2 linked regions of the Nothobranchius furzeri genome follow. The protein of the gene in region 1 binds, or shares a complex with, the protein of each later gene. Links are inferred from orthologs where the notes say so. Each region holds a gene or a part of one and is shown on either strand. Other genes may lie near its edges. The genes, in order: ap1g1 and ap1s1.

Region 1 (8,413 bases):
AACCAGCGGGTTTCATCAGACTCGTAGTTTCTTGTTTTTGCTGGGACCCCCTGTATTTTACCGCTCCCTCCTGCAGTCTTCCCCTATTACAATTTAAAATGATTCTGTAAACTCCGTGTATCAATAGAAACGATCTCTTCCTCTGCCAGCTGCAGTAAATGTAGTCTCCAAATAATAAGAGGTGCATTCATCTGTGCATCTCCTTTGATCCACATCAGTGATGTTTTCAGCACCAGAACAGTGAAGCAAAGAAAGATTCCTGAGTTTGTTAGTAATTTTATTTATTAGGTGCATCTAACCTGTTCTATTTTTCTCTGAAATGAGATCAAATCAGTGCTTCTATGGGTTGTCTCCAATGTGCACTGGAAATTTTTACTTTATTTAGAGACTTGTTGCAGAAAATATTCAGAATTCGCAGTTTTTTGCTACCACAAGCGATCTCTGGTCCAGCCGCACATCAGAGCCGTATTTGAGCTTAACTATCCACTACATGAGCAACTGGGAGCTACGTAGTATTTTGAACAAGTTAATGTTTGCACAATACGTTTGCAATTGACATGTTTGCACTTTAAATATGTTTACGATTTTAATTTATGTTAAGTAACTTGAAAAACGAGAAAAACTGATTTTTGTAATTGTTTCTCTCAGGGCTTTTATCATCTCTGGTGTGAGTTTAAAATATAAGTGTGTTAGCACTGTGCTGATTATCCCTAATATGAATAAATGTTTATTTATTCAATGTTTCTCTTCTTTAATACGCAATTGAAGTTATGCTATTCATGGATAAAAAAATCGTGATAAAATCGAAATCGTGATAAAATATTGGAAAAATCGTGATATTCTATTTTTGCCATATCGCCCAGCCCTACGCCAGGCTATTGAGTGCTTTATAAATTAGCAGTAGCAATTTGGAATCTATTCTGCAGTTTACCGATAACCAGTGTAAACATTTAAGAACAGGAGTGATGTGCTTGGTTCTCTTGGTTCTTGTTGAGCCTCTAGCAGCAACATTCTGAATAAGCTGCAGTTGCTTCACAGCTTTTTTTGGGAAGACCAGACGAAGGAGCAATGCAATAGTCCAGCCTGCTGGAGATGAACGCATGAATGAGTTTGTCTAGGTCCTGTCTGGACATGAGACCCCTGTAGGATTATTAGTTTTTTATGCTGAGAAGCTTTACAAAAGAAAAAGTGCTTCAGCTAATTTAGACCTGATGGTTTCACCTATCAGTTATGTTACAAATGAAAGTAGCACGGATTATGTTCACACCTTCATTCTAAATAACATGAGCAACAAACACATGTGGTGTTGAGTTGTTATTGATGTGGACAGTGATCCTGATCCCTCGCTTTCCTCTTTGCTGCCTTCTACTTCATCTTTAGCTCTTTTATCTGTTTTGCTTTCCAGTCGAATCAAGAAAGTGGTTTCGATATATGGCAGCAGCATTGATGTGGAGCTTCAGCAGAGAGCTGTGGAGTACAATGCACTTTTCAAGAAATATGACCACATGAGGTGAAACTTCTCACTTTTAGAAGAAAACAACACTAGCCATCTTTTTGTATCGGCCATTAGCTTTAGGGAAACCAACTTTAACAGTTTGGTTTCGTACGTCCATTCTTGCTTGTCCTCTGATGATAGGTCAGCTCTTCTGGAGCGAATGCCCATCATGGAGAAAACTGCGAGTAATGGCCCTACAGAAATAGTTCAGACAAACGGGGAGACCGATCCTTCTGTGGTGGAAACAAAACATCCTCCTCCAGTAACCCAATCTACAAACCAGGTGAAAACCAATTTTAATGTGTATATATTTCCAAAAATATCTCTATTTTAGTGAAATGAATATACACACAGCAGAGCCTTTATTGTTTAAAGCTGTCATGAACCCAATTAGCGTTTCAGTTCTGAGTTTTTGCAATAAGTGTTTATAATGAATGTTTTAAATTCACATTTTTAATCACTTGATGTGTTCTTGCTCCACAGGCTACCGATTTGCTAGACTTGTTGGGTGGTAATGATATGGTGCCGGTGATCCAGACGTCGGTGCCCACCAAGCCCGCCTCAGCTGGAGGAGAGCTGCTTGATCTTCTGGGTGACCTCTCACTAAGTGGTAGGATGCTCATCTTAAATGATCATGTTCCATCCAGGGTTGTTTCCTTGGTTTAATACGAAGCCCAGTACATTTCACTAATGGTGTTCTGTTTTTCATTAGATGGAAGTTAACCAGTCCCTAAAAGACAGTTTGGATGTTTGGCTTGAATTTGTTTCAGTTTCAGGAACAATTAGAAAAATTTAAATCACTTTTTCAGTAATATTTCCTGTAAATGCTTGAAATGCAAATGTTTGCGTTTGTCCTCCTAAACCCTGGTATGAACCTCCCCCTCCCCTCCCAGGAGGTCCTGCACCTACTCCTGCTCCCTCAGTGCCCACCTCCCAACCCCCTTTTCTGTTGGATGGCCTCTCTTCACAACCCCTGTTTAATGACATTGCAGCTGCAGGTGAGAGGGTGCTGCTCTCAAATAAAGATGCTTATTTAGTGAGGCACCAAGTGGTTTATATTCTTGTACTTTCATAACCTTCCCATTAACAATCTTAACGATCCCGTTTAATCATTTATCCCTCTGAAATGTCTTAGGTATTCCTCCTATGACTGCTTACAACAAGAATGGTCTGAAAATAGACTTTACCTTTGAGAGAGCGAACCCCAACCCAAACATCGCAGTAATCACCATCAATGCATCCAACTCGACAGAAGCAGACATGACCGACTTTGTTTTTCAGGCTGCAGTACCAAAGGTAAGCATGAACAATGCTGCGTTATTATTTAGTTGATTCTCTTTTTATGTTTTGGTACTAATTTAATACAAGTCAGCTCAGGCTAAAGCTTTGCTTATTCTTTATTTGCGTCGATACTGAGATGCCCAACGCCATTATGCTTCGTCACAAGCGTTCTCCAACTCGCTCGCAAGGACAAACGGAGTTGAGCCCACTTTTCTAACCATCTGCTGAAGGTGACAGAGACGTCAAGCCTGTGATTGGTCAGGACGCCGCTCCCTTCATTCGTCTACAGCACCGTCATTCCCTCTCAAAACAATAAAACGAGAGCCGAACATATCTAGCAGCAGACATGGAGCAGATTAAAGAATGTCTCGATACTAACGTTTTCACACCTGTGACTGAGTACAAACTTTTCATTTGTCAGGAAATTACGGGAAATGTTAGTTTAGAGGTGGTGACCGGATGCAGAGGTGGAGGATGAATTTATCCAGGTTTAGAAGTCTGAGATATATAAACACACTAGAGACTGACTGCATTATTGTCAGGATACCCCAGAAAAACGCTACGCCCCCTGCTGTCCTGGCAGAGAATTGCTTCACAACGCTGAAGCCCCCGACTGAGGAGTATAAAAGGAAAACGTCACCATCAGTACGTGTTCATGTGAGCGCTAACTTGCTGACAGGAGAAGTATAAATCAGGCTTAATGGATAATATTTTTACCTGATATCACTCAGAATCTGTGCTTAATGCGTTAGCTGTTATAGTAGGCAGAAAAAAATATTTTATTAGTAATTTTTTGTTTGAAAATGCGGTCATATAAGAATGTAATACCAGTTTAGATTAAACAAAATGACAAAATATTTTTTGGTCCCAAAAATGAAAAAAAAAAAAAAATGTAACATGAAGTTTTGGTCTGTTGATGAGCTTTTAAAGATTTATAAAAGACGGTAGAATTTAACTAAGTCAGAATTTGGTTCAGAGTTTTTTTATTTCTAATTTTGTGAGGCTTTTATCAAACGGTGTAATCTAACTAGGTCTAAACTCAAATTACACACATTCCTAGTTTGTATCCTGTTTGTTGTGTTGATCGTTAAACAAAAAACACCCACATCACACGGCCTTCCCACAGGAGTTCCCCACGGTTCAGTGCTTGGACACTTGTCCTTTGTACTTTCTCTTTGGCTCTTGTCACCTGCGTTGTTTTTTTATCGCTGACATCCAAATGATTCCTAGTCGTCCTTCTTGCAAGAAGACCCCATTAGTGTAGCTAAAAACTGTTTTTCTCTCAAATCTAAACTGATGAAGAAAGACCCCTTTAAACTTAATGTGGCCAAGATTTCTGTTAGCTAGTCAGTCCATCCATTACCACATGAGCAGAGAAATTTCCTCGACTGTCTCCCCAACAAAATTATAAAGGAACCATGATTGATGATCACTCGCCCTCCGAGTTGCAACAGACTCTTGGTTGTTTCTTATTGCAAACTATGTTAGAATAGTTCATCAGACAGATGCTACCAAACTAACCTCGACTGTATCAATGTTCCTCTGGTAGGACTTCCATCATGCTTGGTGAAAGCTCTCCAGATTGTCCAGAATGCCGTAGACATGAGTTGCTTTTCCATTTGTTATTAATCATTATTCTCTCTCTGTTTATCAGACATTCCAGCTGCAGCTTCTCTCCCCCAGCAGCAACGTCGTCCCAGCTCTCAACCAGGGAACTGTCACGCAAGTCATCAGAGTCCTCAACCCACAGAAAGTAAGTTTACAAACTAGTAAACTGAGTTTTTGCCTGTTTGAAGCCCCATTTGTTCACATTTCAAACTTGTTTATTTATTAAACTCAATCGTGCTCGTAAACCTTTCAGCAACAGCTACGAATGAGGATCAAACTGACCTACACGCACAGAGCCTCATCTATCCAAGACCTGGCTGAGGTTAACAACTTCCCTCCACAGTCGTGGCAGTGATGATCAGCGCCCGTTGCTCTTAAGCCCCGTCAAGGGAACTATGAAAATGGATTTTTCCTTTCAACCTCCCACCTTTCTTCCAATGGACACCCCCCACCCCCCTTCCGTGAAGTCATTGCAGACAGCTACCCTCAAGTTGCATGGGAAGCAGCAGAGCGTTGATCACGGGAGAATAACAAAGATGTTACCAAGACCCTGTTGATATTACAAGAATAATTTGGAAAACATATCAATCACTGAACTTTCTTTTTCCTCCTAACTGGTTTCCATAAACTCTTCACTTAATGAGTTGTATTTCCTCTCAGCACCATTACTACACACAGCAGGACACATGCACACCATTCACTGTGGCACACTTTACCTCTGGAGGAAGTGTTGCTTCCTACGGGCACAGCAGGAACCTTTCTTTTTAAATTCCCTTCTTATATGATTGGCTTTGTTTTCATATGTTTTTTAAAAAAACAAACCATCTTACAGGAGAAACCATGAAACATTGAGCATCACTTTGGCCAGTCACATCTGGATTTGAGCTCGAAGATGATTTTTTTTTTTTTTTTTTTTTTTTTATTCTGGTGTTATAAGAGCTGGTTCTTTCTGATAAGAACATCAGAAAACGCGCTCAATTGGGTTTCTTGTGGCCAATTCTGGGAAAAACACTCCGATTTTTCCCTCATTTGTTGTTTCATCTGTAGGGACGCAGCAATTTGTAGATCTGTATATTAAATTTAACATCTCTGAATAGTTTCATTCAGAATTAATACAGCTCTTCAACTTATCAGCATTTGTCTTAAAAGCTCTGCTTTTTAAACTTTTCCTGCATCTGCCTCTTGGTTTACTCCACTTTCAGGTTAGTTTAACCCGGTCGGTTGAATCCCACACACAGTCACGTGTAAATTAAGCTCTATATGAATGTAGTTAACATGCACTGAATGCTCCTTGATTAGTTTCCCCCCTCACGCTCATCCTAGCGGCACTGTTTTTGTGAACATTTGTTTTGTTTCTGCAGTTCTTAATTTATGCCTGATATCTAAGTGATGTGCCTTTCTGACTCGGCTAAATCAAAGCCCCTGAGCTTTTTGAGTTCTGTACGAGCGTCGTCGTATGATTGTGTGATGATCGAACCGAACTGGCGAATCGCATCATATACATTTTACTTGTATCTAATATTGGCCCACATGCTCAGAGTCCCACTTATATCAGTCCAATTTTTTCTTAATTTTCTTTTTTGTCAAATAAAAATATATATTTAAAAAAAAAGAGCTGAATGACTATAAAATTTAAAAAACTGGAAATTTAAAATAATGGCAGCTAATAGATGAAAAGTTTCATTATTTGGCTTCAGAGTTTTTCTGAGATAAAAAAAATCAAGAATATCATATCAGTCCAATCTTTAACCCAAAACATAAGCAGGAGAAGCTGGATTTTGGAATAGGTACTCGTCTTTAAATCAGATTCATGACCACGCTGTCATCTGGGATGGATAGAAACCTTAATACCTCACAATATTTCTTCTTTCTCTTAACTTTTTAGCGGTGGTAAATGAAATTTTGTTCAGTCGTGAGTTTCAGTTAAACGAAGCGTCTGCATGAGGAAGACTAGACGCTAACAGTGGTTTTCACATCTCGTTCCTGGTGCAGCCTGGCCATGCTGTGTATCACTCTTGTCACTATGCTTCACTATCTTTTAACTTTTGTGACCAAATCAGAGATACTATTAGCTTTGGAAATATTTTTGAGCTATATGTGTATATGGAGAAATCTTTAGGCTGAACTTTTTGTTTCCTGTTCTTGAGAAAATGCTATATTGGCTTTGTTTTTTCTGTACATATTGAGGGCTTTTACAATTTTGTCTAATGTACTATCTTTCATCCTTTTTTTAGATACCATTTTCTAAACGAAACGAGATAAAATTCAAATATTCACAATGTATATTGTCTAAATAGGTTTAGCTGGCATCAGTCTGAGGAGATTTTCCTGTCACCGCTCACTTATTGTAAACGAGTTCTGATCTGCTGCCTGTACATTGTATATAGTTGTAAAACACTGATCAAATTAAATAAAATCCACGTAAAAGATTAGCTTAAAAGTATAATTGTATGCATATATGTACAAAATTAACCTGAAATGATGCAATTGAGCTGCGTATAATTTACGATACTTTTATCTCAGCGATTGGATGCGTTATCTTCTACGAAGTGAGTCGGAAGGCAACACGGTGTGTTTCTATAAGAGCTGAATCTGAACAGCTGTACTACTGAGGAGAGTGAGCACAAGTGGCACTTTGCTTTGTCTGCTTCCCTGCCCCTCACACACCTCATAGATCCTCGTTTGTGTCCGTACCCTCTTGAGGGGGAGCAGCTCTTTTGCCAAGAAGCGTCTCTTCCATTTGGCCTTACATGCGCTCTTGACATTTTCTCTTCATCCTGCAAACTGTTGTGTGATGTGCTGCCCTTTGGTTTTGGTGTTTTCTTTTTGCTTTCCCTGCTTCCTGTGTTTTCTGCATCTTCCAAGCAAGCAAATCAAGGACACTAGAAAAAAAAGATTTTAAATTGCCGTCATGATTAGTAGGTTTAAGTTGCTGTCATTTTGTCTTCATGGCACATTTTTTTTGTTTGTAATATGTAAAAATCCTGATTTAAAAGGTTAAATAAGATCACTCACTAGTTGAATCGATGAAAGACAGACGAGGCGATTAGGATGTAAATTTTTTTTATAGCTTGATTTAATTCCATTTTTTCTTCATCAAAACAAACCAGGAAAAGCTTGTTAATGCTCACAAGGGGGAGAAAGGAACTTTAAAACATCTATTCCTTAGTGTTTGTCATTTGTATCGTCTTATTCCACCTCTATGTACCCTTTTTAATCTAATCAGATCAAACGTGTAATCTGTACTAATTGAAGTGAGCCCAACACAAGTGCTTTGAACACTATTAACTTTGGAGGGGGAAAAGTGGCCATCAGAGGTGTGTGTGTGTGTGTGTGTGTGTGTGTGTGTGTCAGAAGATGATCGCATTTGAGAGTGTGTGATGCGGGAAACTTGTCTTTTGTCTACATAGGACTTAATTTTTGGCTGCATTTTCAACTTCTGAGCTGCATGTGAAAAACTGTAAATAAGGCCATTTCTACTCTTGACGAAAAACCTATTTTTTTTTCTTTTGCAAATGCAAGAAAAGTTTAAATATTGAAATCTGTCACGCCCCTTTTATGGGTCAGTACTAACGTACAATTAGAAGTTGTTCAGGAAGCGCTCACAATTTTGTTACTGCTTTGTTTTGTTTTATTGTTTAGAGCAAGTTCAAATCCATAGTGTGGATTACTTGGACTTTTTTTTCCCATGAAATTGCTGAGTAAAGGGCTTGGAAGAGCAACTAAATAACCACCATGATTATTTTACCTGTTCAATTAAAAAATGCATCTACTGTAACATAATCTGGATCTCCTTCCCTCCTCCGAGGCCTGTCCTGACTGAAAATAAAACGATGTCTGGAGCCTTCTTTTTGGTTTTGATCTTTATTTTTCTGTTTTAGTTTTTTTTCTTCTTTTTGTGGAGTGATGAAAGGCACGAGTTAGACTTTTTTCCTCATCAGCTGGACACATCGAACTGCTTCCCAGTTCTGTGGCTTGAAGGAGTGTGAATGCAGGACTGAAAATATGAAATGATTCGTAAAGATGAAA
Region 2 (10,163 bases), on another chromosome or scaffold:
TAAGGAATGTTTATTTATTGATTTATTAATTTTTATTTATTTCAAATTTTCAAGTACACTTCAGGTGTTGTACTTGTACTATTTTGGATACACTGTCCTCAGGCTCCAGCCTTGTTTTATATTGATTGTATTAAAACAAAGAAAACAATCTGAAGTTGTTTTTAATTTACCGGTCCGGCCCACTTGGGACTAGATTTCCCTCGATGTGGCCCCTGAGCTAAAATGGGTTTGACACCCCTGTACTACACGCTACAGAACAGTCACAGAGCCATGGGTGAGTTCAGGCCTCAGCTGTGAGATCTTAAACAGTCTTTTCTTCTTGTCCCTTTTCTTTTAGCTGCTATCATGTTCTCCCGTATGGCGGTGCAACAGATCAGTCTGGACCGACCCTTCCTCTTCCTTATTCAGCACCAGAACACCGGTAACAGCCCTGAAATGTTTAGCAACACTTCTGTTCCTGTTGGCTTTTCCAGGGATCCAATACTTTCTTCTCTGTTTCAGGTGCAGTTCTGTTCATGGGTCAGTTCAACCACCCTCCTCAACAATAATCCAAGCTTTAACCTAAGTGCATGTGACCCAGACGTGTTTGATCCAAGTGTGTGTGAGAATGTACCCCAGATGAAATATACCTGATGACTGGGCTGGACTGGTACCTGGACTGACTGAGAGACTTCATATGTTGTTTTTTTATTTATTTATTTAAATGTATGTAGTTCAAAGACTGTTCATTCACCTGTGTTGTTTTTATTTTGTTGTTCTTTAAATGTATATTTCTAATAAAGCTTTATTATTTAAATGTCATTCAGTCCCTCTCTGAATCAGAAATGATAATCTTGTTCAAAGAGAATAGTTTTAAAGTAAATGTGTTTAAAGTGCAGAACATTTTTGAAAGAGTAGTTACAAAGCAACTGTTTGAACGCATGACCTGGATGCTAGTGATTATTTGTCTTTGTGCTCTGACTGAGTGTAGTACTGCATGCAGGAGTGAGGTGGAGCCGAGCTCATCAACGTCTCTGTCACGGTGCAGTGTGGACGGCTGTTGCTGACTGTGGTGAAGCAAGGAGGGAATGTTGATTATAATATCGAATATCATATTGTCGGCGTCGTCGTCTTCCTCCGCTGATCCGGGTCCGGGTCGTGGGGGCAGCATCCCAACTAGGGAGCTCCAGACCGTCCTCTCCCTGGCCACCTCCACCAGCTCCTCCGGAAGGGACCCCAAGGCGTTCCCGGACCAGATTGGAGATGTAACCTCTCCAACGTGTCCTGGGTCGACCCGGGGGCCTCCTGCTGGCAGGACATGCCCGAAACACCTCCCCGGGGAGGCGTCCAGGAGGCATCCTGACCAGATGCCCAAACCACCTCAACTGACTCCTTTCGATCCGGAGGAGCAGCGGTTCTACTCCGAGTCCCTCCCGAATGTCCGAGCTCCTCACCCTATCTCTAAGGCTGAGCCCGGCCACCCTACAGAGGAAACTAATTTCGGCCGCTTGTATCCGCGATCTCGTTCTTTCGGTCATTACCCAAAGCTTATGACCATAGGTGAGGATTGGGACGTAGATCGACCGGTAAAGCGAGAGCCTGGCTTTCTGGCTCAGCTCCCTCTTCACCACGACAGATCAGCTCAGCGTCCGCATCACTGCAGACGCCGAACCAATCCGCCTGTCGATCTCCCGATCCCTCCTACCCTCACTCGTGAACAAGACCCTGAGATACTTAAACTCCTCCACTTGAGGTAGGACCTCTCTCCCGACCCGGAGTTGGCAAGCCACCCTTTTCCGGTCGAGAACCATGGTCTCACCTTGGAGGTGCTGATCCTCATCCCAGCCGCTTCACACTTGGCCGCGAACCTACCCACAGTCCAAAAACATGACTGTTAGGGTGATTGGTATGTCTAAATTGTCCTTAGGTGTGAGTGTGTGTGTGTGAGTGTCCTGTGTGTCTCTGTGTTGCCCTGCGATGGACTGGCTCTCTGTCCAGGGTGTACCCTGCCTGATTGCCCATTGACCGCTGGAGATAGGCACCAGCCCCGCCACCCCCCCCCCCCCCCCCGATAATATAATATAACATATCATAAGATAATATAATATCTTATAGTATGATATGATATGATATGATATGATATGATATGATATGATAGGCCCTTCGTTAGCTTCATTGAAGTCTATTCCTAAAGTCCACTACGAATTCTATGCATTTGATTGTTGATCCTATTACTTAGAATGTTTGCTGTGGTACTTCTTATTTTCACGCTCCATTTTTCCCTGCTGAGCTAAGCCGAAAGGCAAAGCTCTCCATTCACCGGTCGATCTACGTTCCTACCCTCACCTATGGTCACAAGCTTTGGGTAGTGACCGAAAGAACGAGATCACAAACACAAGCAGCCAAAAATGAGTTTTCTCCGCTAGGAGTCTGGGCTCTCCCTCAGACCTAGGGCGAGAAGCTCAGTCATCCAGGAGGGTCCTGGAATAGATTTGTTGCTCCTCTAATCTGGTTAGGATGCCTCCTGGACGCCAGCCTGACCTGCCAGAGTCCTCCTCTGTTTAATTCTGCACAGTCTGGGAACTATCCTATATAAACAGCCCCGCCCCCTGAGAATTCTAACCGAGCCAATCAGCGCTGAGTAGCGTACGTCACACACCATAACGCCGAGTTTGTCATAAACATGGCGACTGAAGCAGAGTTCTCTGCAGCTGTTTCCTCTGTTCTAAATGACTTGGACACGTCTTTAAAACCACAACAAGTAGAAGCGCTAAAAGCCTTTCTTCTAAAGAAAGATATTTGCGCTGTGCAGAATTAAACAGGAAGAAGTCTGGCAGGGCAGGCTACCTGCCTCCCTGCTGAGGTGTTCCAGGAACGTCAGACTGAGAGGAGATCCAAAAGAAGACCCAGGACACGCTGAGGGGACTGTCTCTTGGCTGGCCAGGGAACGCCTTGGGCTTCACTCGGAGGAGCTGGCCCAACCGGCTGGGAAGAGGGAAGTCTGGGCCTCTTGGCTACGGCTGCTGCCCCCGAGACCCGACCCTGAATAAGCAGCTGAAAACGGATGGTTGGATGGACTCCATATTTTATTTCAATCCTTCTTTTGAATTATTGCCGTACTGTTTTTATGTTCAGCACTTTAGTCAGCTGTTGCGTAGTTTTTAAATGTGCTATTTAAAAAAAAAAACGTGGTATGGTCTTTCAGATTATTAATTTCTTTTTAAAAGAGTACCTCATATCACTGAAGGGTCTGAAATCCAGCAAAGGTGGAAGGGTCAGCATGACAAAAGATGGTTTAATCTAATTAGACCCATAAACCAGAACCAATCAGACATTCTTTTATGTATGCTAATAATTCAGTATTCATGGAAGTCCCATGATTTTATTGGTTATTTAAAAAGGAGTCTGTTTCAGTGTATAAATGATCGCCCACACACTGGCTGGTGTAAAATCCCCTGCTTCTGGTAGTAAGTTGATGAAGAGCCCCACTCTGTGGTCATATCTCTTCACTGTTTTCATGGGACTTTGTTTTTTCTCCCAGGTGGGAGTTTTAAGACATCGGTCGACGGTTCTCAGTAAGGACAGTTTAGATAGGGGGAACAGGATTACAGGTACAGAAAACACACCGCAGGAAAATTCATGAACACTATAAATTCATGTCAGTGAATGTGAATGGTCAAAGCAGTCCTATAAAAAAGTAAGATGATAGCTTTTTTTTGTTCAATTTGTTTTTTCAACATTTAGCTCAGATTTTCTAACAAGAAGAGCTGAAAAGTATAACCACAAATGGCACAAAACCAGCCTATACGTACGCCAATGACATATTGGTAAAACTCCCAAATCCAGGCTCTAGCATACCTTTGTTCATGCCCTCAGAGAGGAAGGAGGTATCACACCCGTTTTATTTAATTTTATTCACACCCAAAATGTAATCATCCAGTATTTGTGAGTTCTCATACCAAAGTCCTCTCCCACCGTTTTGATAATAAGTAGCTACAAAAGAATCACAAAGGAAATCATCAGGACAATGTGGTACAGCCAGAGGTGGAAAGAGTACTAAAATTTCCTACACAAGTATGAGTACCAATACTTTGATTATTTTTACTCAAGTACAAGTAAAAGTATTTAAACATTAGACAATAATTTTATAAGCAATAAACAGTAAAAAGGAGAAAAAAGAAACACAAATGAAGGAAAAAAGTCTTAGCCCAAAGGGAGTGGGAAGAAGCGAGTGTTTACTCAGTCCCACCCCCTCGCCACACACTAAAACAAACCATGTACATATTTAATACACATTTCAGGATCGTTACATAAATGATCCGCACTTATATAGCGCCCCTCAGAGTAAGGACTCCAAAGCGCTTTACACTACAGTGAATCAATCATTCATCCATTCACACACACACACACACATTCATACACTGGTGGGGATGAGCTACGATGTAGCCACAGCTGCCCTGGGGCGCACTGACAGAGGCGACATACATATCATTACAATAATAAATATACAAATAAGAACATATATGAATGTTTTCTCTCACTGTGTGTGTGTGTGTGTGTGTGTGTGTGTGTGTGTGTGTGTGTGTGTGTGTGTGTGTGTGTGTGTGTGTGTGTGTGTTTCGTGCATGCAATTTCTTTCAGCTTTTTTGTACTGTTATATACCCTCCTCTATGATAATTCATTTGTTTGACAATAAAAGAGGCCTCGAATGTGTAATAGTGCAAAAAGCGGAGTCTGAAGTGCGCATGCTCAGTGGAGGCGGAAGTGCTCGGTACGGTGGTACCTCTCGTTCGGCTGTGTCCTGTTAGACACGGAGATGGACTTTTATCGTTAATTATCGTCTGAGCTACTAACTTCAGGCTGCACAGGGTGTCTGTGACGTTGGGGGCACGTTCAGAATGGTGAGTTGATGCGTCTCAATCGGTGGAAAGTGCCGGGTGCTAACTTGTGCTAATGCCGATAAGGTGTCAGCAATTCAGGAAGTGCCCACCTGCGCTCCGCTCACCTGGCGAACGGGCCTGGAGAGGGGAGACGACCCGGATCATGGTGCCGTTCTTACTGTGGGCTAAGTCGCTGTTGCTTGGTTGAGGTGTTTTAAGACCCGCTCCCTTCCTCAGCTTCAGTTCCAGGATTCGATTCAGCTCAATGCGTTTATTTAGTTACACGACACCAGCACACAAGATCCAACCCGTTCCCGTTCATGTTCGGGTCGATGGCACTTCCAGTCAGTGAGTTCCGTTCACTTCTCGCTAAAGCCGATTCATTCTAAAAGGCCGAATGTTCTCGGATGGAGTATTCATTCTTCACTTAAGCCGTTTGGGTTTTCAGACCCATCTTGCCAAAACTGACATAGAATAGAAAAATAAAAGGCGGGAATAAATTATAAATAAATGACAAAATGCAGAAAAAATAGCTATTTTAAATAGTTGGTAAGAAATATGTTTATTTCCACATTTATGTATCGGTCCTTGTCAGGTGACATATGGGGTGCTGTAGCGCGTTGCATGATGGAATAGCTAGGTGTCTGAACAAAGGAAGCTTTGTGAGCTAAACCCGGTACACCTGTTGTGTGAAAGGCGGCCATGCCACCTTCACAAGAAGGCAAAAAATAAAATGTAGGCTGGAGTCGTGTTAACTGGATATTTTCTGTATTTAACCGTTCAGTTTTTGACAGAAATCTCAAGGCTGTTGGTCATTCTGACAGACAGGAATTACTCTGACGCGTGCAGTTGTGCAGACATTTTAAACGTTCTGCACGGAGAACATCGCAGAGGTAACGAGATCCATCAGACGATTCCCATCAGAACATCTGAGCATTATTTGTCAGCTGCAGCTTACCCTAGCAATGCCAGTCATACACCTAAAATGGCGCTAAAGAGGTGTGGTTGACATGCAGGTCACGTGTCTGACAAGGACCGATTAATGCATTCAGTTATAAATACTGTCCTAAAGCATGATTGGTCAACCAATCATCTTCCAAGAAATTCACACAACCCTCCATTCTCTGCCCTCTGAACGATGTGTTGTTAGTGCTCTTTAATGCGGACTTATTAGGGATGCATGTTTACCAACATTTCTTTAAAAGGCTATTGATGCCCCTTAATGGTTAATAGCCGGTTAACTAGAAACCAACCAATGGTGGTGCTGATTACTGGTGGAACACCGGTGTTTCGACTCTCTGTGCTGCTCGTCGAAATGTGCTACTTTGGGGAAATACGCATGAGCAGATGGATTACTTCATCACAGGTTTACCTGAAACGCGCTACTATGACTGGGCGATATGGCCTAAAATCAACATTGTTATGTGCCCGTCCCATTTATCGGTTCCTTTAAAACCCAGTTCCGTTAGAACTTATGAGACGGAGCATCCATCAGGGTTCGATGGGGATGTCGGTGAGTATTATGGTATTAGATCCTGGTTTGGGCGTCCTAAGTTAGAATCATATCTTTTATTTTAAAGGTGAAATAATATGTAAGACCTTTCCTTCTGTAGTAGCTCACTTCTTTTTAAGCAATCCCGTTATCTTAAGGTTTCTTTATATCAATCTGTCACAAACCGTAAAGTAAGTCCTGATAATTCCAGAACCCATAATTAATGTGCTTACCTCTGTGCAATTAATGATCAGGGCTTCCACTCATGAAGCTTTAGAGAAAACCTGAAAGAATCAGGATTATGTTTCTTTTTCAAAAAAGGTTTATTACAAAATCAAAATACAAAAATGGGTAAATAAAAAACAACTGCTATCCCCCAAGGAGGAATTAGTTCAAAATGATTAAAAAAGAGTTAGTTTACACTAGCTCCTGTCTTCTCAGAATGAAAACTCCCAAGTTACCTCTTCCAAAAAAGTCTGTCATCCCCCATCCAGGTTTGGACGGGGGATGACCCCTCCAAATCTGCTCTGTCTCTTCTTGTCCTCTGCCCCAGCTGCTGTCCGCTCTCAATCTATATATCTCTGCTGTTCAGAGCTGTTCTTATATACCCTTCCTGGGCCAGCTTTAGGTCATGGGGTCATTTACCAGATACACACTTTGTAGCTCAACACAAAACATTTGGTGTCATTACATGCAGCATTCTTCTTAACACAGGTCATTACATCATCTTTTGCAGCATTCTTCAGTTTCTCTCCAATGTTCCCGAGAGGGCTTCTGGATCTGATGGGCTTGTCTTCACTCTGTTCTCCTCCAATCCCATCTTTCCAAGCCAGGGGTGGGGCAAAGAGGTTGGGTCAGTCAACCTGACCTTTCGCCCAGTTCTGTCCTCGTCCCTGTGACCCTTGTGTGACCCTTGTTTCTGACCACAGTTTTTTGACCTGCAGCCCAACTCATGTCGGCTGGCTGATTTTGCTCGCACAAGCCAGTCCAGTGTGTTTCAGCTTGCCACTGTCTTTGGCATGTGGGGACTCGCAACATCCCCCATGCGAGAAAAATCTAGCCAGGGGACTGCAGCAGCCTTCTTTGAGGTGGGGCTGCCTCCTCCTCTGGATCATCTTCATCTCCAGTCTCAGAGCCAGAGTCTGACTAGCTCAGAGTCCAGATACACACCATCATCATCATCATCATCACTCACTTCAGTCTCAGAAGAACCAGAGGGTTCAGATCTGGGTTCCTGCTTCACCACCAGTTTCAGCTGCCATCTGGTCAGCTGAGCTGCTGGTTGGAACATCTCAGTCTCCACCTTCAAGCAGAGACTCTCTCCCTCCAGACTGAAGACATTTTTTACTGCAGAGCTTCAAATATTCTCCTCACACACCTGAACAGCAACAAGCTAACTCTGCTTGCAGCTGCTGGTGGGAAGCTTACGCTAAAAACTATAAAGTGTGGCAAGGTGGACAAATGAGGGCCCGGGCGGGATTCGATCCCGGGACCTTCGGGGTGTGAGTCATACGCTCTAACCACTCAGCCAAAGGGACATCCCCTTATCCAACTGGCCAGGGCGCATGATCAATCAAGACATTGTGACAGAACGCTCACACTGTCACACCTTCCCCCCTCTTTCCACAAGCGCGTCCTCGTACTCCCGCGCAGGGTGCCACAAACTTCACATCCACGGACCTACTTGACAGTACTACATGGATCCTGCCAACAACACCAAATGTGGCAAGGTTAAAAATGCTTACGCCTTATTAGTGTAGCTGTGTGTCAGGTCAGAATCATACGGAGCTGTTAGTTCAGGACTCTCCCTTCTCAACAGAACTAGTAGGGGGAGGGGTGATGTCACCACATCCTGCACATTCCGCTTGTCACTTGTTGCTCAGCTGACTGGGTGCTTTTTCTTTGTTCAGCTGCGGCTTCTCATATCTGCAGGCTGCCGAGAGCGGAAGCTAGGTGCTTGTCTCAAGCAGATCCTCTAAAAACAAAGTTTAATTGGAGCAGAGTTCCAATGCTCCCAGTTATAAGTCCGTCCTTTACAGGCGGCACGGTTTCTCTCCTCACGCAGCCCTTAAGCACAGAGGTTCACACATTATACATGTTCCCGGCTTCTAGCCTCCATTGCGCGTGACGATGCCCGACATGAGATTCTGTGAAGCTAGGAAACATGATTACTTTACAGTTCGTGACAAATACCTCCCCGTGTTACCAGAAACGAGGCCCAAGTCACACAGATTCTTACATATCAGTCCTTCACTAGATTTTGATCCAGCCATGACGTTTAATCGCATCTCACTTGTGCCTCAGCACCCGGACAGCGCCCCGCCGCAGCTCCATACTAGCTTTTCCAGCCTCATTCTAAAGCTCCGGTTACAGGATACTGAAAGATCTATCTGCCATAGCTGGTTAAAAGTTTTTCTTATTTTTATTTATTTTATTTTTTGCCTAGCTTTTATCCTTGGCTTTTCTTGCGTCGGAATGCCGTGATTTCTTTATACCTTTTTAAGTTGATCGTCCGTTCTCCCAGTTTCTTTCCTTTTCGAGAAATTGGTGCGGTTCTCACTCCAAGGTTATAAAATTATCCGGTCCATAGCGCGTAAGCTTTTATCAGCCTAAAAGACAGTTCTACGTCGGATAGCCCGGTATCTAATATTTAGACCTTCACTCCGTAGCCCCACGTTTGGCGCGCCATGTTATGTGCCCGTCCCATTTATCGGTTCCTTTAAAACCCAGTTCCGTTAGAACTTATGAGACGGAGCATCCATCAGGGTTCGATGGGGATGTCGGTGAGTATTATGGTATTAGATCCTGGTTTGGGCGTCCTAAGTTAGAATCATATCTTTTATTTTAAAGGTGAAATAATATGTAAGACCTTTCCTTCTGTAGTAGCTCACTTCTTTTTAAGCAATCCCGTTATCTTAAGGTTTCTTTATATCAATCTGTCACAAACCGTAAAGTAAGTCCTGATAATTCCAGAACCCATAATTAATGTGCTTACCTCTGTGCAATTAATGATCAGGGCTTCCACTCATGAAGCTTTAGAGAAAACCTGAAAGAATCAGGATTATGTTTCTTTTTCAAAAAAGGTTTATTACAAAATCAAAATACAAAAATGGGTAAATAAAAAACAACTGCTATCCCCCAAGGAGGAATTAGTTCAAAATGATTAAAAAAGAGTTAGTTTACACTAGCTCCTGTCTTCTCAGAATGAAAACTCCCAAGTTACCTCTTCCAAAAAAGTCTGTCATCCCCCATCCAGGTTTGGACGGGGGATGACCCCTCCAAATCTGCTCTGTCTCTTCTTGTCCTCTGCCCCAGCTGCTGTCCGCTCTCAATCTATATATCTCTGCTGTTCAGAGCTGTTCTTATATACCCTTCCTGGGCCAGCTTTAGGTCATGGGGTCATTTACCAGATACACACTTTGTAGCTCAACACAAAACATTTGGTGTCATTACATGCAGCATTCTTCTTAACACAGGTCATTACATCATCTTTTGCAGCATTCTTCAGTTTCTCTCCAATGTTCCCGAGAGGGCTTCTGGATCTGATGGGCTTGTCTTCACTCTGTTCTCCTCCAATCCCATCTTTCCAAGCCAGGGGTGGGGCAAAGAGGTTGGGTCAGTCAACCTGACCTTTCGCCCAGTTCTGTCCTCGTCCCTGTGACCCTTGTGTGACCCTTGTTTCTGACCACAGTTTTTTGACCTGCAGCCCAACTCATGTCGGCTGGCTGATTTTGCTCGCACAAGCCAGTCCAGTGTGTTTCAGCTTGCCACTGTCTTTGGCATGTGGGGACTCGCAACAACATCACGATATT

The links.
Region 2: the proteins of ap1g1 (region 1) and ap1s1 are in contact, whole or in part, in a crystal structure (PDB 1W63), measured with the Mus musculus proteins. The link is inferred for Nothobranchius furzeri from reciprocal best matches to the Homo sapiens genes AP1G1 and AP1S1. Residues at the interface, in NP_001288140.1 of Mus musculus: Leu7, Arg8, Ile11, Arg12, Arg15, Leu54, Tyr55, His57, Met58, Gly60, Tyr61, Lys78, Phe79, Thr80, Arg83, Ile84, Leu87, Met90, Leu91, Asp94, Glu95, Thr115, Phe117, Leu123, Cys124, Gly127, Cys128, Tyr152, Lys155, Lys156; in NP_031483.1 of Mus musculus: Met1, Leu14, Arg15, Leu16, Gln17, Lys18, Trp19, Leu21, Ala22, Thr23, Asp25, Arg28, Lys29, Arg42, Lys45, Met46, Cys47, Ser48, Phe49, Glu51, Lys56, Gln74, Asp75, Asn76, Glu77, Leu78, Ile79, Leu81, Glu82, Leu83.

The regions. Positions count from the first base shown.
Region 1 is NC_091749.1:59,356,880-59,365,292, reverse strand, and holds the end of ap1g1 (AP-1 complex subunit gamma-1), read left to right. Parts: intron 1-1,405; coding exon 1,406-1,510; intron 1,511-1,636; coding exon 1,637-1,778; intron 1,779-1,978; coding exon 1,979-2,105; intron 2,106-2,388; coding exon 2,389-2,493; intron 2,494-2,630; coding exon 2,631-2,791; intron 2,792-4,430; coding exon 4,431-4,529; intron 4,530-4,637; coding exon 4,638-4,739; 3' UTR 4,740-4,968; downstream 4,969-8,413. UniProt on the Homo sapiens protein: Subunit of clathrin-associated adaptor protein complex 1 that plays a role in protein sorting in the late-Golgi/trans-Golgi network (TGN) and/or endosomes.
Region 2 is NC_091743.1:88,612,246-88,622,408, forward strand, and holds the start of ap1s1 (AP-1 complex subunit sigma-1A), read left to right. Parts: upstream 1-4,730; 5' UTR 4,731-4,877; coding exon 4,878-4,880; intron 4,881-10,163. Other genes in the region: serpine1 (plasminogen activator inhibitor 1), read left to right, coding at 338-421, 502-548. UniProt on the Homo sapiens protein: Subunit of clathrin-associated adaptor protein complex 1 that plays a role in protein sorting in the late-Golgi/trans-Golgi network (TGN) and/or endosomes.